Arabidopsis thaliana: one gene and its partners. The protein of the gene in region 1 interacts with the protein of each later gene in a pairwise test. Each region holds a gene or a part of one and is shown in the gene's direction. Other genes may lie near its edges.

The links.
Region 2: the proteins of ARF20 (region 1) and IAA5 interact in a two-hybrid assay, tested with the Arabidopsis thaliana proteins (2 studies listed by BioGRID).
Region 3: the proteins of ARF20 (region 1) and IAA33 interact in a two-hybrid assay, tested with the Arabidopsis thaliana proteins (2 studies listed by BioGRID).

What each region holds. Positions count from the first base shown.
Region 1 is NC_003070.9:12,923,311-12,935,779, reverse strand, and holds ARF20 (auxin response factor 20), read left to right. Parts: upstream 1-5,256; coding exon 5,257-5,305; intron 5,306-5,382; coding exon 5,383-5,501; intron 5,502-5,666; coding exon 5,667-5,762; intron 5,763-5,860; coding exon 5,861-5,917; intron 5,918-6,012; coding exon 6,013-6,156; intron 6,157-6,235; coding exon 6,236-6,320; intron 6,321-6,411; coding exon 6,412-6,502; intron 6,503-6,578; coding exon 6,579-6,743; intron 6,744-6,849; coding exon 6,850-6,963; intron 6,964-7,052; coding exon 7,053-7,125; intron 7,126-7,217; coding exon 7,218-7,356; intron 7,357-7,502; coding exon 7,503-7,873; intron 7,874-7,958; coding exon 7,959-8,146; intron 8,147-8,235; coding exon 8,236-8,323; 3' UTR 8,324-8,477; downstream 8,478-12,469. Other genes in the region: AT1G35250 (Thioesterase superfamily protein), read left to right, coding at 1,315-1,454, 1,984-2,084, 2,227-2,336, 2,421-2,516, 2,615-2,734; AT1G35242 (uncharacterized protein), read right to left, coding at 4,384-4,536.
Region 2 is NC_003070.9:5,361,203-5,371,255, reverse strand, and holds IAA5 (indole-3-acetic acid inducible 5), read left to right. Parts: upstream 1-4,758; 5' UTR 4,759-4,795; coding exon 4,796-5,141; intron 5,142-5,258; coding exon 5,259-5,343; intron 5,344-5,431; coding exon 5,432-5,492; 3' UTR 5,493-5,744; downstream 5,745-10,053. Other genes in the region: AT1G15610 (uncharacterized protein), read right to left, coding at 72-463; AT1G15600 (uncharacterized protein), read right to left, coding at 1,495-1,672, 1,776-1,904, 1,978-2,333; AT1G15590 (E3 ubiquitin-protein ligase), read right to left, coding at 3,024-3,051, 3,293-3,418, 3,497-3,882; CYCA2;3 (CYCLIN A2;3), read right to left, coding at 6,038-6,091, 6,187-6,321, 6,416-6,565, 6,661-6,771, 6,844-6,919, 7,004-7,137, 7,226-7,318, 7,416-7,552 and 2 more. UniProt on the Arabidopsis thaliana protein: Aux/IAA proteins are short-lived transcriptional factors that function as repressors of early auxin response genes at low auxin concentrations.
Region 3 is NC_003076.8:23,264,762-23,275,138, forward strand, and holds IAA33 (indole-3-acetic acid inducible 33), read left to right. Parts: upstream 1-5,152; 5' UTR 5,153-5,262; coding exon 5,263-5,699; intron 5,700-6,119; coding exon 6,120-6,198; 3' UTR 6,199-6,331; downstream 6,332-10,377. Other genes in the region: AT5G57410 (Afadin/alpha-actinin-binding protein), read right to left, coding at 458-485, 565-608, 751-870, 963-1,040, 1,131-1,235, 1,324-1,401, 1,478-1,543, 1,618-1,692 and 7 more; GS1 (Haloacid dehalogenase-like hydrolase (HAD) superfamily protein), read right to left, coding at 6,757-6,886, 6,963-7,042, 7,143-7,290, 7,393-7,453, 7,563-7,787, 8,061-8,139; XRCC3 (homolog of X-ray repair cross complementing 3 (XRCC3)), read right to left, coding at 9,247-10,161. UniProt on the Arabidopsis thaliana protein: Aux/IAA proteins are short-lived transcriptional factors that function as repressors of early auxin response genes at low auxin concentrations.

The sequences.
Region 1 (12,469 bases):
TTTTGTCGTCCTCTATTTTGTATTTTTGATGGATAATTCTTTTGAGTATTAAATTTTAATTGGCAACAAACCCAAAACTAAAATAAAAATTAGATAATTTCTTCTTAAAAATAGAAATAAAATGGTTATATATTGACTGCGTCAATCTTAGCATAATCTACTAAGCCTAGCTATTATTATTTTTCACTCAACTTATGAAACATCAACATTAAATGCTTAACATGCTCTTTAGAATTTTTCATTGTCATCAATAAACAATGACATATTCTTTCAATTCCAATATGAACATTTGATTAAGCAAATCTAAACATTGCGCTTTAGCTTACTGCTAACGAAACCAAATATATATTAGGTATCCCCATCCCGTTTCGCAGAATTGTAATATCTCTTTTTAAGAGAATTATTTCTTAATGATTGTTGTATTAATCTTTTAGTAAATTATTAAACATTAAGAGGTCGCTGGTCCGAATAAGACTTCGGAAAAAACTCATATAAAATACTCGGTTCATAACCTAAAAATTATTCAATAAAAAAATACAAAGTACTGAATGTAAAATAAAAATAAGGGGTATGGTGAGTGGCCCCAAGCCCCCCAATCAAAAGATGTTTATTTGAAAGGTAATTAGACAACGTGAAGTCGTCTACTCCGACCCATCAATCACTAATCAGCTTCTTTTGAAATATTTATCATAATATATGATTGTTTAATTAGTATGAGTAGTTACACCTGCTTCAACCATTTTAACCACGATTGTTTTTAGGAAAATTAACAACAATGTCATATTTTGATAGATGCCTTTCATTTCTACCACATTTACCTCTACTTTTCTATTTTTACAACATTTATGATGTCAAATAATATTTTTATCCTCAGATCTATACATTTCACATTTTCTATTATATATAAAGACACCTTCCCGGGCAACTTATGTAATATGTTATACCATACTATATATAAATGTTTAATTAGTATGTGAATTAGAGCTTTAATCATCGCACTCTAATGGAAAACAGATGTGGTATGTGGATGATGAGATGTCAGCATCAAAGAGGTTGAAATTAAATTTATGTATATAAATGATATGTCAATTTTTGGCTGAGATGGCAACATGGGATCAGAAGAGTGCTTAGTTTTGTATATATATAGGATGGAGAAGTATCTATATAGAAAACATTGTCCTGAATATTATAATACCTATTAGGTGATTGAAAACATTTTCCTAAATATTAGAATACCTATATAGTGATTGAAACTATTTTCACAAACCGAACAAAAAGTAGTCAACGTACTACTCATCACATCTAAGAAGAGCAATGTTTCAAGCTACCAGCACGGGGGCTCAGATTATGCATGCGGCGTTTCCCCGTTCTTGGAGGCGAGGGCATGTCCTGCCTCTCCGGAGTGCAAAAATCTTCAAGCCCCTCGCATGTCTCGAACTCAGAGGAAGCACAGGGTACACATACATATACCTCCCTCATTTAAATTCATAAGAGCTAATCTTATTTCATCGAGGGGTATTCTTGCTAGTTGCTACTAAGGCAACTATCACGTGCCTTAGTTCTAAAAACAATGCCCTTTTCCTAAGAAATTTGAGAGTCCAAGAAATTGAGAGGAGATTTCTTAATTGTAACTTTGGTTCAGTTGTAGCATATTAAGGTGATGACTGAATAGTTTTTAAAATTATAAACTAAGGCCAAGGGTAACTAACTAGCTAAATTATTCACACATTTACCTTCTCACGGCCATATAAATGTACTTCCTTTTATGACCTACGATTATCATTTTTTTTAGCGAGTTTGTAAAAAAAAAAAAAAAAGAGAAATATATGTTTGCAACTACTATTTCTTGTTACATATATATTGGAGTTTTATATTTATGATTTTGTTTTTGTGTGTAATGACTACGTTTCTTATATATAGTGGCCAAGAGGAGTGAATGTAATTATGTTGCTTTATTATCTTATTAAAATCTCTATATGGCAGAATTGGTGGGTTCCATGAGATTGAACTTAAAGTTCGTGATTATGAATTGGATCAGTTTGGTGTTGTGAACAATGCTGTTTACGCAAACTACTGCCAACACGGTTAGTTTTCTTTAGTTATAAATTTTGTGCGGTCTCAAATTATTATAAACCCTCGATTGAAGTCGAGACGTGTACTTACGTTAGTGCTATGTCACATTCTTACAAAAAATGGTTTGTTAAACTTATTTTCATATATACAAAGGTCGACACGAGTTTATGGATAGTATCGGTATCAACTGTAATGAAGTATCCCGTTCTGGTGGAGCCTTGGCAATTCCTGAGTTAACAATAAAGTTCCTTGCACCTTTACGTGTAATATTCTTACTCTCTTTTCCAAGAATATTTGTTCTCTTTTATAGAGTTAATGTTTGTATTTATGTTGATATCTTCGAGCAGAGTGGATGTAGGTTTGTGGTGAAAACGAGGATATCGGGGATATCTTTGGTGCGCATTTACTTTGAACAGTTCATCTTTAAACTTCCAAATCAAGAGGTATATTTAGTTGCTCCATCAAGCCTTTTGTGTTGGTTTTCTGCTTGTGTATAGTTTTGATTAATTAGGATCCTTTTGGTATATAATTGACAAAGCAGCCTATTTTGGAGGCAAAAGGAACGGCTGTGTGGCTTGACAACAAGTACCGGCCTACTCGTGTCCCATCTCATGTACGCTCATATTTTGGTCACTTCCAGTGTCAACACTTGGTCGATTGATCCACATTCTAGGGCATCACAAAATTTATGACCTATATATTTTGGTTTGTTACAATTTCGATTTGATGCAGAAAATATAAATATCCATAATTTTACAGACCAAAACATAGATTCAAATTTTTTTTTTGGACAAAGATTCAAACTTAATACCTATTAAAATGAGGCAAATCATAGTACTAAAATCTGAAGAGCAAGATATATGTGATGATATATGTATACATATAATTATATATATTTAAACTGTATAGTTTATTATATCTAGGTTTAAATTTTTATGAATTTGTATTCATCACATTAATCCTAAAATATATCAATAGTGCTTTTTGTTTGTTGAATTTTGAAATTTGCTATATATTAATTATTTTAAAAATCTTATCACGTAACTGGTGAAAAAAACAAAATCTGAAGTAATCAATATCGGTCAGAATATCTATCTTTTGACATAAGTCGTTACAGAACGGGTATGGATAAAAACAAATGGCCGATCGAACAGAGGAAACTAATCAAAAATCACACAAATTCATGATATCCGCTCTATGTCCACTCCTGTGACATTCTTATGATTTTTGTACATGTTGTGAAACTCGTTCTCTTTTCTTTCTTTTATTCATATTATGTTATATATCTCTTTGTACATCCAATTTATCCATTAAATTTATATTTCGTCTTATAATCGTGTGGGTTTCTATAGTCAATAATACTATGACTTGGCGCCATATATATTTGTATATCTTCAGAAAAAATGTTAAAGTGTTTTTAAGGGCAAAAATATTAAAAATTTTATAAACTTTTAAATTTGGGACGATTTAATCTTCAACTTCACTGAAATAAATAAATCGTAAAGTTTTTTATGACTTCCTAAATAATAAATAAAGTTTTTGTTGACTTGCCATTTGAGTAATGTCGTTAAATAGGTTAACAATTTTATTTTTTATGACGACGTCATTTATTGTAGAGACAAAACGACGTCGTTTATTGTAGAGACAAAACGACGTCGTTTATTACAGAGACAAAACGACGTCATTTATTACAGAGACAAAACGACGTCGTTTATTGCAAGGACAAAACGACGTCGTTTTGTGTGTTAAAACAAATTTAAACCCTAAATCTCCATCTATCACAAACCGCAGACCCAACAATCATCTTCTCTATCTCCATGTCGGCTCTCTTGGTGAATTTACTCTTCAACAAAAGAAGAAGAAGAAGATGATGAGTTATAAGAAGAAGATGAGTTATAAGAAGAAGATGAGTTATAAGTTTTTTTTATGTTGTCTGACTAATGTGTTATAATTTTTTTTTTTTTGTGGGTGTTATATTTACGGATGTCAAGTTGGTTAAACCAAATCAAACCAATCTATATTTATATAAATTTAGATTCTAATGGATAATGAGTCAATCTAATTCATTTAGCAAATGGTTTGGATAAAACAATTAGTCATTTAAATTATTGAATTAATGAATTAAATAAGTTTATTCAATTAATAATTTCTCTATAGATGATAAAAAAAAATTCTATAAGCTAAATAATTATCATTAATAATAATTAATAACTATTATAATTATCAATATAAAACATAGAGCAAAAATGCTTAACTGACATTTAGGTTGAGAGGCAGCGAGAAGCCCTTGTACATTTTTGATGGAATTCATCATACTATAAGCCACATCCCCTTGTAAGGCCAAACCATCACCACCACCGGTGATCTACCCCTGATACCAAAGACATCCCAATAGGCATCGGATACATGCAAATTCACATCATAGTTAAATGGAAAGGGGAAGCTAAATGGAAAAGAGAACATGCCCTTGGAAATTTCTCCAAAGAGCGACAATATATGAGAAAGCCGGTTTATATGGGATCCTTAAAAACTTAAAGAGGAAGCAAAAAAAAAATAACCTAACATGAGATGTACCATAGATCCCATATGAAAGGTTTGATCATAATGCTAGAGAATTCCTATTAATGCAATCAGAATCAAGCAAAAACTCATATTTAAAATTTATATGGCTACTTTTAAACAAATTTCATAGAAAAAAATATTTTGTTGTAAGTACTAAAATTTTCCTATATCACTCAACTTATATATGAGTAATGCATATGTTGAAAAGAAAAAGCTAGCAAGAACTCCTATTTAAATTTATATGGCTATCTATAAACAAAATTCAAAGATTTTTTTTCATTGTAAGTATTAAAAATGTATTATATTACTCAACTTATATATGAATAATGCATATGTTGATTTTGGTAACTTAATCAATAAACATATAAGAAAATTGATTTTCTTATGTGTAGTCAAAATATTAATGACATTTCTCTAAATTACCTTTATTAATTTTTGGTAACCTTATTAAATTTAGTATTCAAATCTAAGGAAGTATTTTAATGTATTTTGATAGTTCTTACCTATAAATGTGATATTTTGTGCTATCATGGTCGCGAGAGAAGTTGAGGAAAGGGAGAAAGTTTTATAATAATTGTTGAGATAACATATTTTGGTATACCGATATTTGGATACGAGGTTATGGAAACTGGCAACGTTGTGAATGCACAACCTGAATTATCAGGCATAAGTAAGAAATTTTAACTTTTTTATTTTCTCTTATTGAAAACTTGTTTTGGTTATAATTTTTTGGTTTTTGTTCGGCAGTTGATGGATCCAAGAGCTATATGTACGAGCAGTTATGGAAACTCTGTGCGGGACCTTTGTGTGATATTCCAAAACTTGGAGAAAATGTTTATTACTTTCCTCAAGGCAATATAGAGCTTGTGAGTTCTCCCTCTCTTCTCTCTCTCTCTCTCTCTCCCTCTCTTCTCTCTCTCTTCTCTTTCTCTCTTCTCTCTCTCTTTCTTCTTTCTATCTCCCTTTCTTCTCTCTCTCTTCTTTCTCTCTATCTCTCTCTTGTGTATGAAACCTTTTGACGGCCTTTTCAGGTTGATGCATCTACAAGAGAAGAGTTGAATGAGTTACAACCAATTTGTGATCTTCCTTCTAAGCTTCAATGCCGTGTTATTGCAATTCATCTTAAGGTATATCTCTATTATGTTTTAGCAAATACGCATGATATCTATATTTGATTTCATTGTAAAAAGAAGTAATTGGTTAATTGTTTGATGTTTGATTTTAGGTGGAAAACAATAGTGATGAGACTTATGCTGAGATCACTTTGATGCCAGATACAACTGTAAGTGAAAATTTAGTATTTCTCTTTTATTTTCAGTCAATTGTATTTTTCTCCTATTATATCTCATTGATTTTCTGATTTTGTTAAATCCTTAGCAAGTTGTAATCCCTACTCAGAGTGAAAATCAATTTAGGCCATTAGTTAATTCCTTTACGAAGGTTTTAACGGCCTCTGATACAAGCGCTTATGGTGGATTCTTTGTTCCGAAAAAACATGCCATTGAATGTCTCCCTCCACTGGTATTTAATGTTATAATTTTTTTAAATGAATTTGAATTTTAAGATTTCATTAGACATTACATATTAAATTTTGGTTTAGGATATGTCTCAGCCTCTACCGGCACAAGAACTTCTTGCTAAAGATCTCCATGGTAATCAATGGAGATTCAGACACAGCTATAGAGGTAATAATTCATTTTATTCAAATCATTCAAACACAGCTATTGAGGTAATAAATCCTAGAGAAGTAACTAATAATCTTCTTATTCCATGCAGGTACACCGCAAAGACATTCGTTAACAACTGGTTGGAATGAATTCACAACATCGAAAAAGTTGGTTAAAGGAGATGTTATTGTATTCGTTAGGTATAATATTGATTCTTGTTATATATCTTTTGGTTTTGGAGTTTTGGACTTTTAAACTATTTACTTGTGGTTTTAGGGGAGAGACTGGAGAGTTACGAGTTGGTATCAGACGAGCAAGACATCAACAAGGGAATATACCTTCATCAATAGTATCAATAGATTGTATGAGACATGGGGTAATTGCTTCCGCAAAGCATGCTCTTGATAACCAATGTATATTCATTGTGGTTTACAAGCCAAGGTAATTCAAAGAACCATTTGAACTCACATTTTAGATTATATTGATTTATCAATAGATTAGTTCCTTCAACATATAGGTTTATATTTTGTGTCTTTCTAAGTATCAGGTCAAGTCAATTTATTGTCAGTTACGACAAATTCTTAGACGCTATGAACAATAAGTTCATTGTCGGTTCAAGATTTACAATGCGGTTTGAGGGTGATGATTTCTCTGAAAGAAGGTAACATTAGATGAAAAAAAATTTCTGCATAAATATATTTATAATGTTTAATATTATCAATGATAACACATTTTGTTCAATTGATTAAGATATTTTGGGACAATTATTGGAGTTAATGATTTCTCTCCTCATTGGAAGTGTTCAGAGTGGCGCAGCTTAGAAGTAAAATTTCATTCACACTTTATAACATTCTTTTAGGAATACGTTTTTGAGTGCAATAAATAACATATCACTAATTAACTTTAATTTTGCAGGTTCAGTGGGATGAATTTGCATCATTTTCGAGACCTAATAAAGTGTCACCCTGGGAGATCGAACATTTAATGTCTGCGTTAAATGTTCCGCGATCATCTTTGCTCAAGAACAAGCGTTTACGAGAAGTTAATGAATTCGGTATAAAAATACACTCTTATAATCTTTTATTTAAAGGATTAATCTTCTATTTAATGAATTTGAGACTCTTGAATACCTTCTCAATATTCTTGTTTTATATACATGTTCTTCATCATCACATATCTTGCCTCCTATATTGACACAAGGACAAGAAATTGGACAACTAAGCGTCGCCTCCCCGATGAATACTTCTCTTCGTTATCGTGATACAACTGAAGATGCTATGAATCCTTCTAGATTGCTAATGAGCTACCCTGTCCAACCAATGCCCAAACTAAATTACAATAACCAAATGGTTACACAAATAGAAGAAAATATAACAACCAAGGCAGTCACTAATTTTAGGCTGTTTGGAGTCTCTCTAGCCATTCCTCTAGTGATCAAAGATCCCATTGAAGAAATTGGCTCGGATATTTCGAAACTTACTGAAGGAAAAAAGTTTGGTCAAAGCCAAACTTTGAGATCACCAATAGAGATCCAAAGCAAGCAGTTTGGTTCTACTAGAACTTGTACCAAAGTAAGTATAAGATCAATATTCTTATTCCTTATATATGAAACTTTTTCTCATTGTACTCAACTCATGCAATCTTGATATGGAACAGGTTCAAATGCAAGGTGTAACAATAGGAAGAGCTGTGGATTTAAGTGTTCTTAATGGATATGATCAGCTAATACTAGAATTGGAGAAGCTCTTTGATCTCAAAGGCCAACTACAAACTCGCAACCAATGGAAAATAGCTTTCACAGATAGTGACGGGTATGAGATGCTTGTTGGAGACGATCCATGGCCGTGAGTTTCCTTTCTATTTCTATTGATTAAAAGATTAGTTAAAATCTTGAGAGACATTGATATTTCATTTTTGTGTTGTTTGCATGTAGTGAATTCTGCAAAATGGTGAAGAAGATATTGATATATTCAAAAGAGGAGGTCAAAAACCTAAAGTCCAGTAAGAGTCTCTCAAGTTGAATTAAGAATAAAAAAATATGTAATAAAAAGGGGTCAAAAATGTTATCGGTGTCTCGTTCTATTTTTATTTTTCTCTTATTTGTTGTTGCATGCATTTGTATTATGCACTTTTGTTTCCATCGTCCATAAATGAAATAAAATCCTCTTGTTGTCGTGATATTGAGCTTTCTTTCTAATTTATACAATCTACATATCACATCTACATTCTAAAAATTTGAGTGTAATATTTATTTTATGATATTTTGAAAAGAAATTTGTGTAACACGATTTGGGAATTTAGGCTTTAATTTGTTTCAACAGACAAAACGACGTACAATAAACGATGTTGTTTTGTTTTAACAGAGCAAATAAACGAGACATTAACATCGTAAAAAAATCTGTTAACCTATTTAACGACATGACTCAAGTGGCAAGTCAACAAAAACTGTGTCATTTATTTAGAAAGTCAACAAAAACTTTACGATTTATTTGTCTTCCGTGAAGTTGTAGATTAAATCGTCCCAAATTTAAAAATTTGTGATTTGTTTTGACATTTTTCCTTATTTTTAAGTGTATATTCAATGAACTAGCATAGTAAAGTTAACTACTATGTTGGCTGCTTGGTTCTATTTATTATATAACAATAATTTACAGAGAACAATGCGACTAACCTAGAGAATTGCGTTTTTGACCAATTCTCTTTCAATAAGAAATCAATCCAAGAATCAATTAGATCTTGGTGAAAATCTAAAAAGTTTTTCTTTACTTTACTTTACTTTCTTGCGTTTCAATAAAGCTCCATATGAGCTATTCAATTTTCAATTCTAAATTGCTATGTCTATAATCTCATTTGAGTACAAACATATGTTGCTTTGGATTTGATTTCAGGTAGTTTTGTAAATTATTGTTCTCATGTAGAATTTCTAGTTAAACATTGCGGCTGAGGAAAGTATTTTTTTTAATGGTTTTATTTTATTAAGAGATGTTAGAACTAAAAAAGATATTTAAGAATTTGATCATTTAAAAAAGATTTACCAATCTATAGTTTAAATTATTGATAGAAAATAAAAGATATTTTGAATTCTATTTTGCATTTTGTTGTCTACTTCATAAACCTGTTTCAACGAGGAACCGAATATTCAATTAGGTCATGTATGTTTACTCAGAAGGTTCGTCTATATGAAAATGAGAAATGATGTTAGTTTAGTGACAAAAATGAGCAACATCCACATAGATCATCTGAATGGATTTTTCTAATTTAGGCAAATTGTCAAACTCATTACTCCTCTAGATGAACTTAATTGGAGCATTTGGATGAAGAGGATTCAATCAAAAATAACCAATGACAAATATGACATCATTTATGATCATATCAGATAATGTAATTTTTTTTATATAGAGAGTTCTCATTTTCTATTTTAAAAATCACATTTTGCATAAAAAAGAACTCTAAAAATCATGAATTCGCGGATTATCATTTTCCATCAAAATCACAAAATCGTAGAATTGTGTTTTTCCCATTAAAAATGTGAAATCACTAGTTTTGTTTATGGAAACTTGTGAAAATGTCTTTCCAATAAAATGTTCAATTGTAGAATTATGGAACAAAATATTTCCAGCAAATCATGTTTTTCTTCCAACATCACAAAATTATTTTTCTCACCATAACCAAAAAAATTATATTTTCCGTCAACCCGCAAGAATCATAAAATTAGTTTATATATGTTAAAATAATAATAATGAATATTTAGTTGTGCATATATTTTATTGTAACAGTTAAATTAATGTAGGTAAGATTAAAATTTAAAATGATTAGATCCAAGTAAAGGTTTTTTTAGTCATTTTCTTATTAAACTCGTTTAGATGAAGGTGAATATTTATAAGAATTAAGCTAACAAACATAAACTCATTGAAATGCGGTATCTAAATGAATATCCAACATTTGAAACAAACAACATTCTGATTGAGCATTTGGATGAACATTGCAATGGACTTTCTCGATGGAAATACAAGATGATCAAACGAACATTGCCCTTAATATGACTTGGCGATCATAGAAGGATTCATGGTTTGTTTTGAAATTTATGTTATCGTGACTTTGAAACTAGACAAGATTGTCAACGATATAAATAATCGCTACACAAACAAATCTAATCCTCTTGGAAGAAACTTACCATTAAAAGGCTATGAAAAGAAAGATGAAAAATTGGATCTAGATTTCTTTTTAACTTAATTTTAACCGATTTTATTGATTATGTAATTTTATATAATAAGAGAAGGTTTTCCTAAACTTCTCCTAAAAAGACGATATTTGGCGTCCTCATTATGTGAATTTTGTACTTTCAATACAAAAAAAACACAAAAAAAAAACAAAACCGGGCCTATCTAACTAACCTAACATAAAGGCCCATTCTATTTGCTATACTCCATATTGCCCATTACTTCCTCCAACTCTCGACATCTTCTTCCTCCCCAAGAAGATTCCTAAAAAAATTAAAGCATCTCTCTTCTTCCTAAACATCAACGAGAGGAGACTTCTGGGCGCCATCTAGATTAAAAAGGTTAGTCATTTTTTAAATTTTTTTTACCATATGTCTTTGTTTACGTTGAATTAAGTGATAATGGGGACGTGAGGCATCTCATCATTGTTCACAATTACTTTAATCAATTCAATTCAATCTTTCAATTTCAATTTTGGGTGACTGATTTCTTCCCACCAACTTTAAATTACCATAAATCCAAAAACTTCAAAATTTTAATCTATGTAACGCCTTCATAGTTTAAATTACCATAAATCCAAAAACTTATTAGCAAACGTTTGCGTAATTATGGTAATTTAAAATTCATTACAATCCCCAAATTATCTCCCTTAAATATTCTATAAAGATTTGTTTTCCAAAAGCTACATATACGACACACACCACCTCTCTCTTCTCTCTCACAATGGTTAAAACTAAAGCACTAGCTCCCTACTCTACCTTAGATTAAATCTACGACGATCATTTAACCGCAGGTAACAATAAGATTGTTGTTCGGATCATCCATAGTTGGGAATTTTGAGACTTTAGAAGAAACAATAGCTTACTAAGTCTTGAATGTCTTCTTTTTGACGAAAATGTAAATAATCCTAACTATTTTCCATCTTCTTCAATTTTTTACATTCATTATTACACATAATTTTATATTTTCTCACACGATTGTGCTATAGAAGCTTCTGTCCTCCCTAATCGGCTGCCTAACTTCCAAGATCAAATGGTTCTAGGCAATTTGTACGGCATCAATGATTTCGATGTTGTTGCTTCCTCAAACCGTTATCGTCGAACCAACCACAAATGTAAAATTGTTTTCACAGACAAAACGTTTTTGGACAGTGTTAAAGAGCGACATTGCTCCATTGGTTACGAATATGTTAGGATGTAAGTTGCTTGAATTGGTAAACAAGGGCGATCGAGGAGCTTCTAGGTAACATATTTTCCTCTTATTCCCCTTATGTTAACGTCCCTTTCTTCTAACTCTGCCTATATGTGATTTCCATTCAACTCCCTCTTACCTTGGTCAAATTTCGTCTTGTCGGACATCCCAAAACAAAGACCAAACAAACCCTCCCAAGATAACATTCAATATTATATTGACTTGCATTTTAGAAAGGTACAGTTTCTCCAAAACCCCCACTAAAAACAAATTTTAGTGTTTATTAATGGTTCTTAACATTAATGGTCTCCCAATGACAGGAAATACAACAAAAACATTCCTTCCAATGATGTGTCCTACCAACAAGTTAAGAAAAGTCAACCACTACTAGTTTCATCCGGTTCTGAAACCAAAGAACAACAAGTAATCAACATGCCATCACATCAATACAAGCCATATGTAAGGAATTACAATTTTAAGGCACATATGAATGTTGAATGGTGCTGTTCAACCGAAACGAGAAAGTATTTATTTAAATACATCAAAAAAAGGGGTTGACAAAGCTACAATTGTTGTAGAGAGGGCCTCGGGGTCGGTGGTAAAAACAAAAGGCGAGTCAAACTATGTTGACGAGATTAAAAAATTTCAAGAATGTCGATATATTTCAGCATGTGAGGCAATGTGGAGGATATTTCGTTTGATATTCACTATAGCAGACCAGCCGTTCAACACCTTTCTTTGCACCTGCCTGACCAA
Region 2 (10,053 bases), 7.6 Mb from region 1:
AATCAATAAAAACCATTGTTGAGGATATCAGTCTCTAATGCCTGAAAAAGAAAAAGAAACACAGTTTATACCTTGTCTCTGAGCTAGCGTTTTGGATATACTGCCATAAACGGCAACATACAAAAGGCAAAGTGGCAATAGAGGCACAAGTATAAAAGATGATCCATGTAAACAAAGCTACATCTAGTTCTGGATCTCGTTCATCTTTTGTTAGAATCAGAAAAAATATGGCTGCAACAATCTGGACCAAAGTCACAGCTAACTCGACCAAAATCCAGAAACTTCCACTTGTAAATGGACAACTCCATTGAAATGCCTCATGTGGAGTTTGCTCATGATCAGCTGATGACGAACCGCCATTGATTGTAATGTCGATGATGTGCTCATCATTTGAGGAAGAATCGCCATGGATTGTAACGTCTTCGACGTTGTGCTCACTCTTGGTTAACAAAGGGCCCTCCATTGATCACTTTTTTGCTTTCTTCTATTTTGTCCAATCGAATTAATAGTTCATCTAAACAAGCGTTGAAATACAAATTACATAAAGCCCTCTCCGATTCTTTGGTGCTAAATTATTATTCTAAGACCCAATCTACGTCAAGATCTATTCTATAAGTCAATTGTAAACTTCTAACGAACAAAAAAAAAGTTAGTCATTCTTCTCTAAATACGAATAATAGACATTTCCAGCTATATTATTATCTTAAGACCTAATCGACACCAATACCAATTCTAAGTCAATCACATAAAGTCCTTTACAATGAGTAGACTTTCGGAGCTACATTTGTTTTGTGTGTTTTTGTTTTACCTACACCAAGACCAATTATTAGTCAATTGTAGCCCGTTAGAGTAAAATTTCAAAATATTTGGTTCTAAATTATAGTCTTCCTAATTCTTTGGTGCTTGATGTATTATTTGGGAAGCTAGAAGAAGTAATATGTCTTTTTTGTAAAAGGAGAAATCTTTGGTGTTAAATTTTATTATTTGGGAAACTATAATATTTTATTATTTTTCTTAGTTATCTTATCTTTGGTGTTAAAGTTATCTATATATCCATTTCGATTTACCCAAATCTGTCAAAATAATAAGGCCTATAAAAGGTTATTCTGAAACACGTGATTATTTGGGTAAATGTCACAATGAGGTAGGACTCGACTCGAAATAAGTCAGATTTTAAAAAGCCCATTAAAGTACGGGCCCTTAAAATACATATCTGAATAGCGAAAACGCACGAATAAGAATGGTCAGTCAAAACTGTCATTTAATGGAGAATAATATTAACGAGGGAGAAAAATAAAATAAAAAGAGGAAATAAGACGAGATGATCATATTTGATCATTTCAAAAAACCTTAGCTACTGTTTTTCTCTACCTTAATAAGATTAAAATCATCAACATGAACACAAAACATTTTTATTCTGGTACTCTGCTTTACTTTGATTTTAAACGCCCATTCTCCTAGGCTTACAAACAAAATATTTTTATTAGTTCGATTTCAGCAGATGCATGATACAATGCATGCTACAATGCCTTTTAAGACTTCCACAGCAAGGAGAACACATATGACCACAGGCGTAAGTAAAAGCAAAGGAGTAGTATAACAGACCATTGCCAATGTTAGATTAAAAAGAACATATCTAATGCAACTGAAAGTAAGGAGAGCCAAACATAACCTGCAAAAGAGACAATGAAGAAGGCCAAAGGCATGAGTATAAGAAAGGTCAATATATACGTTTTAAGGTATACATATGATTGGAAATTTCGTTTGATACGCACCAGAAGTATTGAGTTGTAGTATCATCTAGAGCTGATGAGTCGAATGCTTTGGAAGAAAGAATCCATAAAAACACCACATACCAACCCACGAAGAAACCCGTCATAAAAAAGTCCATATCCTTGTTGATTCTGCAAACCAATAAAACCATTATATCTCAATCTAATGCATAAAAAGATAAAAGAAAACACAATTTATATATACCTTGTCTCTCTTAAGTATTCATCTGTAGATTCGGAGCCAACGCTTCGGTTATAAAGCCAAAAACGCCAACATAGGATAGGGAGAGTGGCAATACAGCCACATGTATAACCGATGATCCATATAGACAACATTGTTTGTGGATGTTCTTCATCTCTTGGCTCAATCAGAACGATTATGACCGCAGCAATCAAGACCAAAGTCACAACAAACTCGATTGAATTACAAATGCTTTCATTTGTGTATGGATCACCCAATTCAACACCCTCGTGTGGTTGCTGACCATCAATTGATGAAGAACTACCATCGCTTGTAATGTCAATGATGTGTTCACACTCGCTCAACAAAGGGCCCTCCATTGATCACTTTTGGTTTTTCCTATTTCTTGCCGATCAAATGAAAAGTTCATTCAAATTTGCGTTGACGAGCACAAAGCATATACCTTTCCTTCTTTGTTGATAAAATTATTAGTATTTTTTTAGACCAGATCAATACTAAGTACGTATTAGTCGTGTTACAAATAAAACATTATTTTGAAAAATGAAGATCAAAGCTGAGATTTCAATGTTTATATATATTGCAGATGTTTTGGACAAGTTAAATTGTTAATAGGTCAAATGATCTGTATGATATTTATTTTCTGTTTTAAGACAGACAACACAAGAAGACAGGATCGTATCTTTCAGTTTCCCACCACTTTTGTTTATTGAATGTGTACAATTACTCTTGAGCGAAAAAAAAATAAAAAAAAAATCAACCTCATCTCATCACCACCTAACTTGTGATTGACAGAGAGGGCATGTGGATTTGATTTTCAGCCATTTGTCTATACATTGCGAATGAAATACGTGTGAGCATTCAAGTTTCCTTAGTCCTACTCCTTTTTCCTCTCCATATTTCCCCAAGCATATGCAACAACTCTGCACACACCATCAAACCATGAAAATTAAACAACAACAACAACAAAAAAATGCTATTTAAAACAGAGTAATTAATGTGATATGAAATTATTACTCACATCATCATGGCTCGGTTTCTTGAAAACAAATCTACCTCCTATACCTTCCCTTACAGAATCTACATCATTTGATTTCAACTTATCCACATCATAGATATGAGAAAAAAATGTTCCAAACTCTAGTGAACATTAAGCGAAAAAAATACCTGCGCATAATAGTAATGCATATGCAAATCTAATGCAACTGAAAGCAATGAAGACTACACATAACCTGCCAAAACATAATCAAGAAGACAAAAGTTAGTACTGATTAGTTAGGGTTTAACTAAATCTCTACTGTGACATGATTGTGAGTCAAACCTGTAGAGCTTAGGAGTATCAGAAGAAGATGAGTGTCCATAACAAATCCATAGAATCCCCATAACTAACCACACAACAAAGAAACATTCATTCCCCATCTTCAAAGCATCCATTACCCTATCCGTTCTGCCACCAACAACGGTTCGGTTTGATTTAGCTAATTAAACTCTTAATGTTAAGTGAAACAAGTGTTGTTTATTATACCTCGTTTTTGAGTAAACACCAATTCGGTTGTATTTGCGGACACACGAGAGGAGAATAAGGAGCGTAATGGTAATACAGCCACAAGTGTAACCGATGACCCATGTTAACAAAAGTGCTTGTTGATGTTCATCTTTTGCCAGAGTTAAAACTATTAATGATGCAACAATCTGAACCAAAGTGACTACTAATTCCATTATATTCCAAAGACTACCACAGTCTCTCGTAGATGAACTTGCACCTTCATCTGACGATTCGTCATCCGTAGACAGAGACGAACTTAATGAAGGATAGCTTCTCTCGTCCAAAGACGATCTTGATGAAGAATCTTCATCGTTTGTAATGTCGATTATGTGATCATCATTATCACTGTGGGATTCGCTGTCCATTATCACAAAGTCTTGTTGTGTTATTCATTGGCTAAAGCCAGCCGACAATATATTATACGCAATTCTACATGATCAATCGAAAACTAGAAATTGTGTACAAGGAAATTTGACTAATCTAGCTTATCTATCAACATGTGAACATTCCAAAAATGTACTATTGGAGATACAAAGATATGGAAATATCTATGAAAAATGGAAATATATCCCGTAATTGATATTTTGATCAGTTCTGTTTCTATTTCGTAACAAATAATGACAAAAGTATGGTGTACATGTGTAGATTACGTATGATGTAATGAAAGTATCGGGCACATGTGTGAATAGCAGAAACAAGATATATGACGAAAACGTAGATGCATTTTTTTCTTTGAAATTATGTATGCACTGTGTAGTGTGTTACGTGTAGAAAAAAATGAAATAATATAATAACTTGTCTTAGCCTTGAGTAACACGTGTTCGGTTGTCGAGAAACATAAATATACGTAGATTTTAAAGTGCACTAATATATATTCGACCATGAATATGTTGTTTTATTATTATGTCGTTGATTAAAAGAATGGGATACAGACATAACAAATCACACATAACATGGGATGTCTAATAGAAAGTAACGTGTTTCTGATCCAACGGCTGAGAAAGAAACCCTACTTTGTCGGTAACAAAATCGTGGCCGTCCAGTGTGTCGAACCAACGGATCCATATTATCGACATTTAAACACGAAGCGGCAAAGGAATGAAAAAACATGACATAAAAATTTCGACAAGATCTTCGAATGGGGCCGACAAGATAAATCAATGCTAAACAAGCTTGTCTCAAACGCCATCGTTTATGTTCCCATGAGAACATATAAAGTGGCAACAGAATAAAGTTCAAACACATTAACACCAATACTTTCAATCAAAAACATCAAAGATGGCGAATGAGAGTAATAATCTTGGACTCGAAATCACCGAACTACGGCTAGGTCTTCCCGGAGATATCGTCGTCTCCGGTGAGTCCATCTCCGGGAAGAAGAGGGCTTCTCCGGAAGTAGAGATTGATTTGAAATGTGAACCGGCGAAAAAGAGTCAAGTTGTGGGTTGGCCACCGGTTTGTTCGTACCGGAGAAAGAACAGTCTCGAACGGACCAAAAGTTCGTACGTGAAAGTGAGTGTAGATGGAGCTGCATTTTTAAGGAAGATTGATTTGGAAATGTACAAATGTTACCAAGATCTTGCTTCCGCTCTGCAAATTCTGTTCGGATGCTATATCAATTTTGGTTAGTTTATGTTTCTATATATAGTATATATTTTTGGTTTTAGTCTTTACTTATCAAGGCAACTAATGATCCAAAACATCGATATTAACTTTATAATCTTTATATATGAAAATGAAGATGATACGTTGAAGGAAAGTGAATGTGTACCAATATATGAAGACAAAGATGGAGATTGGATGCTTGCTGGAGATGTTCCTTGGGAGTAAGTTTCTAGCGACCTCTATAACATTCAAATTTACTTTCTTTTATTTAATTGATATCTAATAAATTATGAAACTATTTGTGTGCAGAATGTTCCTTGGATCGTGCAAGAGGTTAAGGATTATGAAGAGATCATGTAACAGAGGATGAATGATATTTATAGTCACATGTGAATGTGAGTGAGCCTTACAGATATCTAAATATACATTTTTGCAGTTACTCAATATTTCTCTTCGGAAGTCTAAGATTTCCGAAATTTCTGTAGAAGTTGTTTTCTTTGACATAGTTCATTCATCTTTATCTTTTGGTCACTGGACTAAAGTCTAGAGGCGGTTCTTATAAGCTACTGCATGACAGTTCAATATCAACAATCAATGAAATTTGAAATATAAATACTTAAACCTACTTCATATCAGAAAACTGATATGAAAATTCCGAATCTGTTTACATTGCCTCAAGATGGGAGAAAAATGTACATTCTCGTTACAATAAAAAAAACTCTAGGTACCGATTAGATGTTCCCGGGTTTGGAAGAACCAAACCACGGATCAAACTAGGCTAAACCGAATTCTAATCAGGTATTAGATGAGTGGGACTGTGGAAATTCTGTTTTATGAACAAAGAGTAACAGATGAATGAAAACGAAATTGGACCATCAATGTGACAAAACTATTATCGGTTAGGAGTTGAAACCTTCAGAATAGCGTGTCAAGTAGCTTTGGAGACGTGAGAACCGCCACAGATTTGTACTGCAAATCCATAATAAGTCTTATGAGAATCAAGGAAACCAAACTAAAGTTATACCAAACAGGTTTTAGTATGTGGTTTTAACTGATAAGCTTACTTTCTCTTGCCTATACTTCATGCGTATAGCGCTCAAGGGGCAACCTTTGGTGTTAAGCTGCAGATCTTGTAAGGCATGAACAGATGCTTTCAGATCCGATGCTTTGTACGTTGTGTAATGCTCAAGTGTTGGATTCTGCCGGGGGAAAAATCAAAAAGATGTTAAAGATCAAAGATTTTGTGGAGCTAAACTGTGTCTGGATATACAAAAGAGAAGCAACATCACAGACCCATGGGTGGTTTGATTGGTCCATTGTCCACTTGGCGAGAAAAACCGCTGAAGCAGCAACAACGGAAGGAAGAAACTTTAAGAAATGGTAGTCTATTAATGTCAACTCTGTTAGATAGCTGGCTAGAAACTCGACTTCAAGGCTTGGGCTCTGCCGAATCAGCAATCAAATATGGACACATTCTCAGTCTTTCTACTAAACTTTGTAATTAGAAGAGATAGGGGAGCAAATTGCGAAATGCATACCAGGCGAGAGGCTTGAGCTGCTCTGAGAAATCTCCTAAGGAACGTTTTTGGAGTGGGAGTGTATATTTGAAAGCTAAAATGCTTAAGTACTTGGTTCTCCATTTCCAGGACCTGCACATCACGACTCCATTAGCACATTGCACACTTTCTTTTTTGAGGATTCAGACAGCAATCTCGGTATACCTGATCTCTTGTGTAGGTGTTATCCGTAATGAAGCAAAACTCCTCAATGCGTGGAGCAGAGATTTCCTCATACTTCCTGAAAAGTTTATAAACAAATGCAGTATAAGTTTAGTTTAGCTTTTGAGAAGAGATTTACTAGTGAGATTGGAGAGGAACATACGAGGCAATTAGCATGCAAGTGATGCCGAGCAGTTGAAGTTGCTGTCTTTGCACGTAGTTTCCATGGAGGAACCAGTCTATGAGATACACTGTGAGGTAGAGAGTGTCAGATGCAAGTGTGTATTCTTCAGAGACCTGTGATTGAAATCAGACTTTTGTGAGAACCCGGAAAAGGTCATAGTAGCTTCAAAAGTTAGCATCAAAAGTAGAACTAAACACTAACCTCCACAAGCCAATCAACCAGAATTCCCCGCATGGACTGGGTGACATCCTTCTGTATTCTCTCCATAAAGTCCGGAAGTGGTCTGCGTTTAAGCTGCCAGAAGAGAAGTGACACAGAAGCACAAGCAATAAAACTTTCAGTCCTTTGGCTCACCAAGTTTCTTTAGAGACTATCAAAGCCTAGGAATTACCTCTGAAACACGCAAATTGTAGTGGATTTCAGGGGCATAGAGGCAGCACAGTAAAGGATCCTTGTCATCTGAATCGATGTCTACAAATTTTGGGATATCCGGTACAGTTGAACTACCAATAACAGCACTTTTCTCAGCTGTAACCATTTGCAAAAAAGATTTATAAGTCATTAAAGACCACTCCTTTATACAATAGGAACTAATCATATGAAAACTTGTGTTAAATGGATCACCTGTAGAAGCTGATCTCCCAAGAGGTCTTGGAGGCAATCTAGAATTCCATATCTCAATACAGTTATCAGCTGTGTTATCTGTGCCTTTAGAAACAGAAAGGTTTCCTGCTGTATTTGATGCAACTTCAACTTTTGCATCGGTCCTGGACTGAAGATCTGTGACTTCTGAAGTAACAGAAGTTGCCAACTGGGATGTACTCGCCAATCCATGACCGCGTCCTTTCTTTATCTGCTTGCTGTTTTTGGCCTGAAATGGCAAAACCCATGTTTCAGTGATGCATGTTTTACTTCACAAGATCTTTACAAAAATTCACAGGAAACCAAACACTATAAAGAAACATAATATAGTTTTAACAACCTCAAGTATAGCTGTATTGGAGTTAACATTTGTGATCTCCCCTAGAACCGCTCGCTTCTTCCTCTTGTTGGGTCCAGTGGCTCTTGTATCCTCCAAGGCTGGTCTTTTTGTGTTTACTCTCTGTTGATTCTGTGTAGTAGAAGTCACTTCTGAAGCGCGCAAAGCAGAGGCAAGGGAACGAGTGAATGGCCGAGACACAGCATTTTCCTTCCCCATGTTTAAAAATCCCACGATAAAACACAGCCTTGAAGAAGTCTTAGAGTCTTAGGATTGCATCATCTTCCTCTGATCTGTCAAAAGAACGCAAAGATCATTAGTTAAGGCAATAGAGAGATCAACATTCAGAGCAGATAGCAATCTGCAACCATGCATATAAAAATGTTCTGAAAAAAAGATGGCCAATTTGACTTAATAATCGAACCAATTGAGTCTTACAGAGGATTTTCCTTGAAAATTTTCCACTGATCAACAAAAGTATCAATAGAAGATACATTAAAGTTCAAAGCTTCAAACTTTTTTTCAAAACTCCGTAAGATTCAATGGTAGAATCAAAAGTTATTTGATTTCCTTATTGAACAATGCAAACAGTAATGCAGAAAAAGACTCCAATTTTATAAAATCTAGAGAAGAAAAAAGATTAGGAAAACCAATATTCGACAATCTAACTACTATTTCTTTCTTTTATAAATACCATCCATAAAAAATCGGAAGAGAAGCATCAGACTTTTCTCTTCAAAAGCAGCTACATTTCAATCTGATGACAAAAAAAAAAAAAAAAGCAGCTACATTTCCTTGGGAAAACGAACAGATCGTGAGAAACCATTTGCAAACCCATGAATCAGAGCTGCACCATTCTACATAAATCTGAAAGAACCCACAAAACCCTATGCCTAAAATCAACTCACATTCTCTTCCTTTTTCTTCACATTCTCCTTGAGAAAACCTTTCAACATCGACAAATTTGCAATAAATCCCAAAAAAAAAAGTTGAAAACTTTGGCGGCTCAAACACAAAACGAAATGCAGGTACGCGGATGCACAAGCATGAGCATAAAAATCGAAACTTTCTGATAGAAATAACAAAATTAAGTTAAAAAAAGATTTGAGATTTGACCTGAGAAGCTCCAGAAAATTCTTCAGGGAAGAAAGAAGAAAGATAGGAGCTTTGGACACAGATCGAGATGGTGAATCCTGAATCCGCTCTTTGGGGAAAGAGACTGTCTTTGAAAGTGAAGGAGACACGCACACACTAGTGTGGTTTAAACGATAAAGAAGACACATTTAGAAATAATTAAGGAAAGTTAAAAAGAAATCAAAATAATAAACTTTACTAACGACATTAAATCAAAACAGTGTTTTTTAAAAAGAAACATTACTAAATGTTTTCATGTACAGAGAATATAATGAATTTTAAAAATTTGACTTGTTGACCATTACATATATGGGAGATAGACAAAAAGGAAGTGTTTTTATTGGGGGAGACTTGAGTTAATTAAATTAGTGCTTAATTTTTTGAATTTAGTAGCGTGCTTAAACATAGATTTGGGAGATCAACCCGTGAGATCTGGGGTTATTATTTGTCTACAACTGTGATTTAATTTTTGCCACATTTATGATCCTTGTTACGTACAATGGTATATATGCCATTAATTCACACCGTTTACTAATTAATGAGAAGCAACCGAGCTACAAGTTAAAATCCCTAGCCATTAATACAACTTTCTGTTTTCATTTTCTTTTTGGTTCACATGTAGTAGCAAAAAAAAATCACTTAATTACCAAAGTAAGTAAAATTAAAAAAAGTCCAAAATCGGAGGTCCCAACACGATAAAACTTCATTGCGAGTGGAGTGGTGTATGTTAAATGCTGCAGAGATCTTGTCCAGCTTCGTCTTCTTGCTTTTTAGAATTTTGTTGATGTTTCTTGTCATGGCTTTGTTTTCTCTTGTTATGTACTACTATGTAGTAATCTCTCTGAAAACAGTAACAACAAAAGTGATTGATGAATGATGATATGATAGTAGTTATACTTCAACCATATGAGATGTA
Region 3 (10,377 bases), on another chromosome or scaffold:
GTTTTCAAAGTGATTTGATTAGTTTGGTTGGAACTTGGAACAATGAACATGGTGATCTCTATGACTTACTGTATGATTACTAATTTCATACTTATACTAGACATGATAATGTAATTGAGACTACGAACCTTGAATTTTTGGCGTTAGACAACCATATAATAAGATTATGATATCCCAAAAGGATAAAAGATCTCTGATTTGTCACAACTAAAAGTTGAATATACATCACTTAGATATCCAAGGAGAGTTTTGGTGGTAGTGAATACAGTACTACGACTACATTTTGCGACAAGTCTCTTTTAGCAACTTGGATCCACTGATTTTGAGCTCCTAGACATTTTCATACTCCCTGTAGAGATACATTATATAAATACAGATCAAGCAAGAGACATTACTAATCTTTTTACAAAGAAAAAACGTACAGGAGTAATTAAGGAAGAGGAATCTATAAGTATACCTCAGCTGCCAACGAAGCTACAGATTCCCTGCAACAAGTTTCGCCACTGTTAATTGTTTTGCATGATCATCTTTGTTTAAGCCAAATCAAAGAATATAAAGTGATACCTTCGCTGCTCTGATTTTGGGAGATGTTTCGACATTATGGACTCCTGCAATAGAATTTCTCTTGTCAGTTTCTCAACAGAAATCAAAAGATATTTCCAATAAGTGTAGTGTTTCTCCCAAAACATAATAACGTAGAGAGGAAAAGAGTCTCTGAGCCATTAGTAAAGAAAAATGAGAAAAGAGGACCTGTTCTTGGATTATGCTTCTTGCCTCGACAAGCTGAGCTTCGAGTTCAAGCTCTCTCTCTGTTGCTTCAGATGTAACAGATGCTCTTTTAGGTGCATCTTGTAACTGGACCATGCTTTCCTTTATTTTTATGTCCAAACAGCAAAAATAAGTTAACCACGGATACAAAATGTACTTTGTTCTGTAAATGCAAAATGTTGTTAAGAAAAAACCTTTATGGAAGCCATCTTAGTACGCAAACTTTCTTCTATTTGACCTCTAGCCATCCGGTAAGGTAGATCAAACACGTCCTGTGTAATGACTAGTTAGTTAGATTCGGGGGCAATCCATTATATAAGATTATAAAGAAGAACCATTCAGTGATCTAAGCTTATGCATACCGTCTTCCCACCCAGTGGAGATTGTGAAGGATCAGCCTCACGTTTCTCACTTCCAGCCAATGTAGCTGACCCATTTGGAGCATTTAAGAAATCACGCATATCTGTCTGCAACAAAACCAAAGATAAAAACTTTTCTTATGAATAAACCATGTTAAGTTGCTTACGTTAAGCTTAGTATGGAAATAGAGCGTACCTGCATGGATCGAAGTAATGCTCTTAGACTAGTGTTCTCAGCCATCAATTCTTGATTTTTCGCTTCGTACGCATCCACCTGCAGGGAGGGAATTAGTAAGTAATGCCCTTTTGAAACTCAGCACAACGTTATTGATATGTAGTTAGATGCTTACTATCTTTTTATAGAAGTCGGTATCAGTCTTCTTGCCATTCCAGGTACCACGTTGCCTCCCTTCTTTCTAGTATATACATCAGATAATCAGTCAAATAGAAAATCCCTTGAGTGCAAAAAACCAAGAAGCTGGTAAAGAACCTGTAGCAAATTCATAATCTCCATTCCAGATCTTGATTCTTTCTTTTTCTCCATTAACACTTGATTCAGCCGTTCCTACAAGAGAAACAAAGCGTTCAAAATGCAGAATTAAACAGGATGCAGAAAAGCTAGTTTCACGAGAAAAAGATACAAAACCTGCAACTTAATGTAATCCTTCTCCTTTTTCTTCATTTCGTGTATCTGTTGAGCCTTCACTTGCTATTCAGAAATAAAAGAAGAAATGCAGAGAATCCATCATCAGTACAATTTCCTCTAAGATAAAGTAGTTAATCCAAGAGCAAACACAATCAGACCTGGTTACCAATCACCATCCTTTGGAATTCATCCCTCTCCTGCTGTAACTTTTCAATCTGAGACTTCAAAGCTGCAGTGTTTTTGGCTTCCTGTCAACACAGTGAATTCATAATCAAACAAGAGCCTAAGCGAAAACAATTTCAGCTGAAACTTTATAGGACTCACGGTTCTGGTAATTGTTGCAATTTCTCTGTCCTTCTGTTGGAGTAGCGCTTCAAGCCTCTCAACTTTAGCTTCAAGTCTAGCTATATCCGATTGCTGTCTACACACAGTAAGGGAAATGCACATAAACCACAAGGAAACATTCTTCCGCAAAATCAAAGTAGATAAAACTGCTACAATCTCCAGACCAATACTAATCCTCAAAGAACAATTTCAATTAACCACAATGCAATGCAAAGCAAATTGAAAGAAGGAAGAAAAACAAAATTCACCTCTGTCTCAGCTCATTAGCAGATTCTCTAAACTCTATATCACGTTGTCGCTGCTGCAGCAACGAGTACATACAATTGCAGGTCCTTGATATAGAAACCTAAATCAAACAAAAACCCTAATTAAAACCCCAAAACATCCAAACAATTTCAGCATCAATAATAAGAACCTACAGGATCATTCGAAAAGAGATCGAGCGAGGCGGGAAATCCAAATGTAACCATCGTCTGATTCAAATACTTCGTACAATGCTCCAAGTTATCCTCATTCGCAAATGTGTAATCCCTTCTCAATCAAAAAAACAAAAATTCCAATCAGTACTCATTGGAGATTTTAAAGTAAACCCTAGGGGGATTAAGAAGAAAACTAACCCTGCTGACGCAGATTGAGATAAAACCTGTGAAGAAGAAACCATAGAATCAGTCAATGGAGCTTGAAATTGAAATTCGATGAGGAAAACAAATCGGAAAACAGTAATCTTACTTTGAGATCGTATTCAGCATCATTCGCCGGCATTTTCGAAACGGCGATGAGAGCTTCCACCTCCGGCGAAAACGGCGGCGTGAGCAAACGATGAAACAGAGAATCAATTCACAGGAACAGATCTAATCTAAGCAGAGAGAGAGAGAGAGCGAAAACAAATTCAAAAATCAAAAATATCTGAAACGGAATGTTTCTGGAGAAGAGCGAAAATAAAAGTTTTTAAAACCTTTTTCACTTTGCTTTTTATTTCAGTAATAATAATCAAAAGGATTTGTTTTTGTGATAATGAGCTTTAAGGAAATGATCCTGTGAAGAGACACCTACTGGCTTCAGTGCTCCTCCACGTGATTTTGACGCGCCAACTGTTTAGGCTTTAAGAGAAGGAAGAATGTGGGCCCATACTGTTTTAATTGGGCCTATTAAGGCTTTATTGAGCTGATGTGTAAGGCCTGTTTAGACTTGTGCTAATGTTGGATGAGCATGACAAAATGATTATCATTGTTTGGTTAGAAACAGACCAAAACAGCGGGTAAGTGTTTGATTGTTATTTAAATTTTGATTATTATCGGGGAGTGGAATAAGCAAACATTAACGTATGTCTGTAGAATCGAAAAAAAACAAAAATCGAGACAAATTAATTAGATGATTAAATATAACATGTAGACGTAGTAATGTGTTAAACTATAGTCCTAAATTGAGATCTATGAAACCGAGGTAAGTTTTAAATATTTCCATGCCTCCATGTCGGATCTTCGAGTCTTCTAATTCGAATCCCGAGTTGAAATTTAAATGTATAGAGTAAATTATTGTTTGCTTCAAACTTAAGAAAATATGCTTCTTGTGCTTCGTTTTATGTCTTCTTGGGTTTGCTTTAGCTTATTCACCTATTGCTTGTTGGATCCACCGTTAATTTTTCATTTAATAGTCCATATGAAAATCAACATTTTAGCATAAAATTACAATTTTAGGCACAGTTATTTGACTCATACATGATTTACCTATACATTTGGTCACTCAACTTAATTATTTGCGATTTTAAAATCGTGTATAATGTTTTAAAATGACTTGAATTGGAATCAACTAATTTTAGGTAGCTCGAACAAACTTGTTATTTATTTATTTTCAGATAAGTTCCGTACACCAAAATCTATAACCGAAAAGACTTTGGATTATATTGTATGAGTTTAGAGTGCAATTCTTCTTTTTTTCCCTCTTTTTTGATCTAAGAAATTTCTAATTAAGTTCACATATTTTCTTGGATCTAATCACTCTAAACAACTCCTCCCAAATAACATGAGTTTTCATTATTATTAGAGGGGTGATGTCTACATTTTGGACCAAGGTCTAATACTTTGTTTTACTTTCGTCAAACCGAGTTAAATCCGAGAAGTATGAGATCAAACGTTAAACGTATTCATGTGTGTGTATGTGATGTTACATGGATAAATGGCTATGCATGTATATTCTATATGACGTTGATGTGTGGTCGTGTGGATATATGCGTGTGTTTACCGGTTAATACAATTTTTATATTCTTCGTATGTATGCTTGATGTGTGTATTAGTGTATGAAAAGAAAATGACGTGGAACTCCCGACCAGGCGCGAGTCAAGGAAGCGAGGCGTTCGGCGACGGCAGCGCGGTCGTCTCCGCAGCCCATGCGTTACAATTTACAAGATCTCTTTTTCTATGATACCTTCTTTCATTATTTAATTAATCACCAATTTATAATGTCTTTAATTAATTTGGAGTTTTCTAGCTAATTCACATTTCTTATTATATTGACTCTTTTTCACTGTTTTTATGTTTTCCCATCAGCTTTCTTTTTGTCCACGTAAACATTTCCAAACATTTTTATTTTAAAATTTCTTTATACTTGTATACATAAATACCTAATACCTTGCTGGTAATATATGGTCAAAATTAGTGAAACCTTGGAACATTTCCTGTAACAGCTCTTATTACTCTCACAGTCGCAGTGATAGATATATAGTAGAATAAGTTAGCAAAATACAATAATTGTAAAAACACATTTAATACATAAGCATGTGAGAACATTTTTACGTGAATCCAATTGTTCATTGAATAATTAAATATTAAATTGATTGTTAATTGAGGATTCATTGTCTAACGAGAAATCCAAAGAGCAGATGTACTTTCAAATTAAATGAAACATTTAAGACAACATTAAACCAAACGAAAATTGAAAAATGAAAAATAAAAGACACCTTTTTGTTTGCCACACAATTTACGCTTTCTCTATCTATTTATATGTACATACATTCACTTTCACCAGAATCTCATCAAACACACAGTCTCTCTCTAGCTTAACAAAAAAACACGAAACACTTTGAGTTCCATGTAAGCGTCCGTTGTCTTCTCTAAGTTACAAAAGCCCTAAAACCCTACTCTCAATATGAATAGTTTCGAGCCACAAAGCCAAGACTCTTTGCAAAGAAGGTTTCATCAAGACAACAGCACCACACAACAACCTCGTGACACCACGACACCTTTCATACCCAAACCGGCTTCCAAAAACCATAATAATAGCAACTCCAGCTCTGGAGCGGCCGGGAGATCATTCCAAGGCTTTGGGCTTAACGTAGAGGACGATCTTGTTTCATCGGTGGTTCCTCCGGTTACGGTTGTGCTAGAGGGACGTTCTATATGTCAACGCATAAGCCTAGACAAGCATGGGAGTTATCAGAGCTTGGCTTCGGCTCTAAGGCAAATGTTTGTCGATGGAGCTGATTCAACGGACGATCTTGATCTGTCAAACGCCATTCCTGGCCATCTTATTGCTTATGAAGACATGGAGAACGATCTCCTTCTTGCCGGAGATCTTACTTGGAAGTAATTTTCCTCCCCTAACATTAATTTTCTTTATTATTGTCAGGATGGCCATATATATACAAACTATATATAAAACGAGCCTTATTTTAAACATAGGAAAACTATATTAATTTTTTTTCCCCTAACGGTAAAATACTACAAACACAAGTTTTTCAAGCTGCCAAGAAAACACATGTTCTCTGCTTTTCTAAAAAGACAAATATCAATAATTTAGTGAAATGATATTTTGTTGCTATCCTTATTCTGTATACTCAATTTTGCTGGCTATAGTTATTTTGTTTGATACCGTTATATATCTTTCTTAAAAATTACGGTTTTCGTTCAATGTTTAGTATAATTAGATTTTGAAGGTTTCGTGATCTTTAACTGGCAATATTTTAATACTTGGACGTTAACGAGAAAATTTGCTTGTTGACACAGGGACTTTGTTCGTGTAGCGAAGAGAATTCGAATCTTGCCGGTCAAGGGAAACACAAGACAAGTTAAAAGAAACGAGTGAGGAGGAGAAAGACCGTTTTTGCAACGATGTCATACGATGTTTTGTAACAGCCGATGTCGGTTGAATCCTAATGGCATTACTGTAAAATCATCATTGGATGTGTTTGCTTCTTTGTTCACGTACGAAATGAAAAATAAAAAAAAAGTTGTAATACTAAATATAACCTATTTTTCTTAATTATAGTGTAAAACATGAAACGTTGCAGTAACAACACATGTTAGTGATGCGTAAAGAAGAGAGATTCCAAACCATAAAGAAGGAATCAATTCAGCTATACCGACAAGAACAAAATAAGATAAGCCAATGTTGAAACTTGTGGGTAAGAGTAGTTGTACAAAAATAATTTGTTTAAACGTTGAGGCAAATTTTTTTGTTTGGTCTCTCGTCATGTCACCACTTAGTTTCTTTTTATGTCTTCAATAGCCAGAAAATCATAGAACCCTTGACGACATAAAGCCTCATGGCCTTTGTCATGTACATGCCAAAACAATATAACAAGACAAAGAATAAGCTTCATGATTTGAGTTTTTATCATTACCTTGAAGACGTTTGTATCGTTTAGTTCGAATCTTCGAATGGAGGCAAGCCCCACTCTTCCGGTTTAAAATCGACTAGAGAGGTTATGATTTGATCTGCAACATCTTGGTGAGAGATATCTAGTCTAGGATCCGGTACCATAACCACGTTCCTGTAGATAGACATCAAGATGTATAAACTTGTTTCTCGGTTTTTATTGGCTTTTACATGAAGAGAAACCCACTTACATTCCGGCGTTTTTAGCAGCAAGAACTCCAGATGGAGCATCTTCAAACACCAGAACCTTTTGTGAATCCACAGGACCGTCCTAAGGAATCCAGACGAAGAGGAAACATTAGTCTACAACTCATTTTAAATATGAACTAGTTAGTAATGGAGAATCTTGGAGACTGTTGCCTGTTAGTTACCTTAAATCTCCTAGCAGCAGCGAGAAACCCGTCAGGAGCAGGCTTTCCTTGCTTCACCTCTGGATCATCACCACGAACTACGTGATGCATCAATGAGAAAAGCTCTCTGTGTCTTTGGGTTTTCAGATCATAATGCCGTGTGTGAGTACTGCAAGCGTACAATCAAACATAACAAGTCAGTTTCTGGATTGTAAAGGACAATGAGAATGCAAACTAAATGGTATATTATGAGATGAGGTGAAGAGATTACCCGGTAGCAATACATATTGGAATATTCTTTACATGGAGATGCTTAATGAGTCTACTAGCCCCTGAAAATGTGGAAGAGAATTGGTTCATGACCACATCAAAAACATAAATATCCGTACATGTAATCTTCCTGTGAACCAAATGTCATGTGTTACAAAAAGCAGAATCTACCTGGCATGAGCTCACTAGTAGGGAAAAGGTCTTGCAACATTGACTCTCTCTCGACAAGAAAGTCCTCAGCTGAAAGAGAGTCGCTAATCCCGCTTTCTTCAACAAAGATCCTGGCAGCTTCTATTGCTTTTCTACCCATCATTTTAGCCTTGAGAGACCAATCAAACTTTTTATTGAACCTAGCAAGTATAATCTCTTGGACCTCAGTGTAAAACTTCTCAGTATCTGCAACAGAAACCAAATCAGCATGAATGTATGCAGCAAGAGCAGATAAGCCAATGAAGTTGTGAGATTTTGAATACACAGAACAAAAACTCAATCGCTCGATTTCCGATCAGATTCAAGCTAATTGCTTTAGCATCTTAACATCAATTGTATGAAATCAATCCTGGAAACTAAACAGTCACTACTAAAAAAACCATCAAATCTAAACAACGATAGTGACAGTAGTACGATCTAATAAAGCTGGAGATTGAAGATCAGATGCAAGGAGATTACCGAGAAGAAGACCGTCCATGTCGAATATGACGTGAGTGATTGATCCTCTGCCGGCGGTGACGGCTGCAGGATTCGACATTGTTGATTCGATACCGATAACGACGAACCGAATCCAGTTTCAGTCGGAAGTTAGTTTTTACGCTGGAGAGTGATGTCACTATGACGTATAACAAAAGGTTCATGGGCCGTATCTTGTAAATGGGCCGGTTCACATAGAGAGTAGAAGTTTTGCTCATAGTGAAGAGTGCTAATAAGAGATGTTGAAACTTATACATTGGAACTAAATATGTTTAGTCTTCTTCTATACAAAATAAAAGTGAAGATTCGTATACAGAGCTTTTGTTAATCCAAAGACCAACAACGGCCAAAAAATTTTTCCTCTTGTAGAGCTCCGTCGTGTCCTTCAGATGATTCAATGGTTGTTTTTAGCAACAGCCTTAGGCGGAATCTCTCATTCTTGTATACATCAGAGGCTGAATTGATCCTCTCGAACTGCAGTTGATTCCTCTGCCACTGAATAACCACGGAAAAATAGAAAACAATCGAAGTGTTAAAGATCTTTTAGCTACAAGTAATCTGTTTTAACTCCATTTGCTTACCAATAGGACAATGAAGTATGTTAACTAGATTAATTACTTATGGCACTTATGAAGGCATGCATCATCATATTTTGTGGTTTCAGTCATTTTCTGGTTAGAATCGAGAAATTAGCTACAGAGTTCAAGTGAAAATAAATACAAAAACCATATCCACCAGGATGATCAACACTACCTATTCATAAAGATATTACGGCCAGATATAAAGATCACATCAGCAATTTACTCAACAAATGAAACGATTTGAAGATAGCAACCAAGTGGGAAATTTTCGACTTCGTGCAAATTCAATGATGCAAAGAAAAGAGAATCAGAGAACAAAGTGAGAAGCTTGCAGTAGACTTAGGAGCTAACAGGAATCTTTTAAAAAGCTTTATTATGAATAATTGAACATAGAATGCTTATAAACTAAAAACAAGCACATATCACATCTAACCAAGAGGAGGAATCCGAAAAAATAAACCTGGCTTTGCTGCAACCCATCTCCGGATCCTTCTGCAATGTACATAAATAATGGCTAATGAACAAATACTCCAAAAAATCCGGTGATGCTTCGAACAAAAACTATCCTACATAGCACCCGAGTTCACCTACGCTTGAACCGCACAAATCCCCTCTCGTGTGATCATGAACTCGCAAGAACTCCCAGGCAAATAAGGTGAAAACACTATGTCAAGCCGTCTCTTAGCACTTCTGGACACAGAACTTGAACAATTCTCGTCCTTTTCACTTCTATCTTTAACAATACTACCATCACTTCGTGAAATAAAAAATCTGGAATTCACACAATTAGCCCAAGCCAAGCCTAAAGAAGGAACAACTCGTCTTCCAGACGAATACAAATACCTCAAATTCCCAATCCTCAGCCCACTTAACCCATCAGAAGTTTCAACCAAATCCGTAACCTGATTCGTAATCACAATAGCCAAATCAAACTTGCTAGCCAACTGCTTCAATTTCCCAGATATCTTGAAAAACAAAGAAGATCTCTTCTTAAGATCAGACGGAGTATTATCAAACTCCGATCTAAACAATGCCGCTACAGAATCAAGCACAATCAACTTCAACGGAAACCTAGTTTTCGAATTCCCAACAAACCCATCTATCCTAGGCATTATGTCGAACAGGTGGTCTACAGAATGGACATTTTGTACAAACACATGATCACAAGGATTATCATTGTAATTCGCGTAAATACTAGGGTTTGATTGATGAAACGTGTGCGAGAGCTGATGGAGACGACGAAACGGAAATGGGAACTCTGAATGGAGATAAAGAGAAGAACCGTTGAGTCCGCCGTGTGAAATCGGAAGTTGGGTACAGAGCGAAAGCTGAAGGCAGAGCTGTGTCTTTCCGCAGCCACTCTCCGCAACGATTTCGGTTAAAGAATCGCAGGAAATTCCGCCGCGAAGACATCCGTCGAGGATTTCACAGCCTGTGGTTAGTTTACGATTCGTCGGCGATCGTCGGAGGAGATTCTCCGGCTTAATTTTCCCATTTTGCATTTCACCGCCAAAAGCTACCAATTAAAAAAAAATCGCAAAAGTTATAAGCGCTACAAAATTTAAAAAGACCTAATCGCGTTAAACGACATCGTTTTATCATATTATTGGGCTTCTTACCTTGACATTAGGCCCAATAAGTTAAGAATAAACGTCTACTATTGGGCTTATTTTCAAACCATCGCATTAGGTCCATGCAGGTAGGATACGAGTAATGAA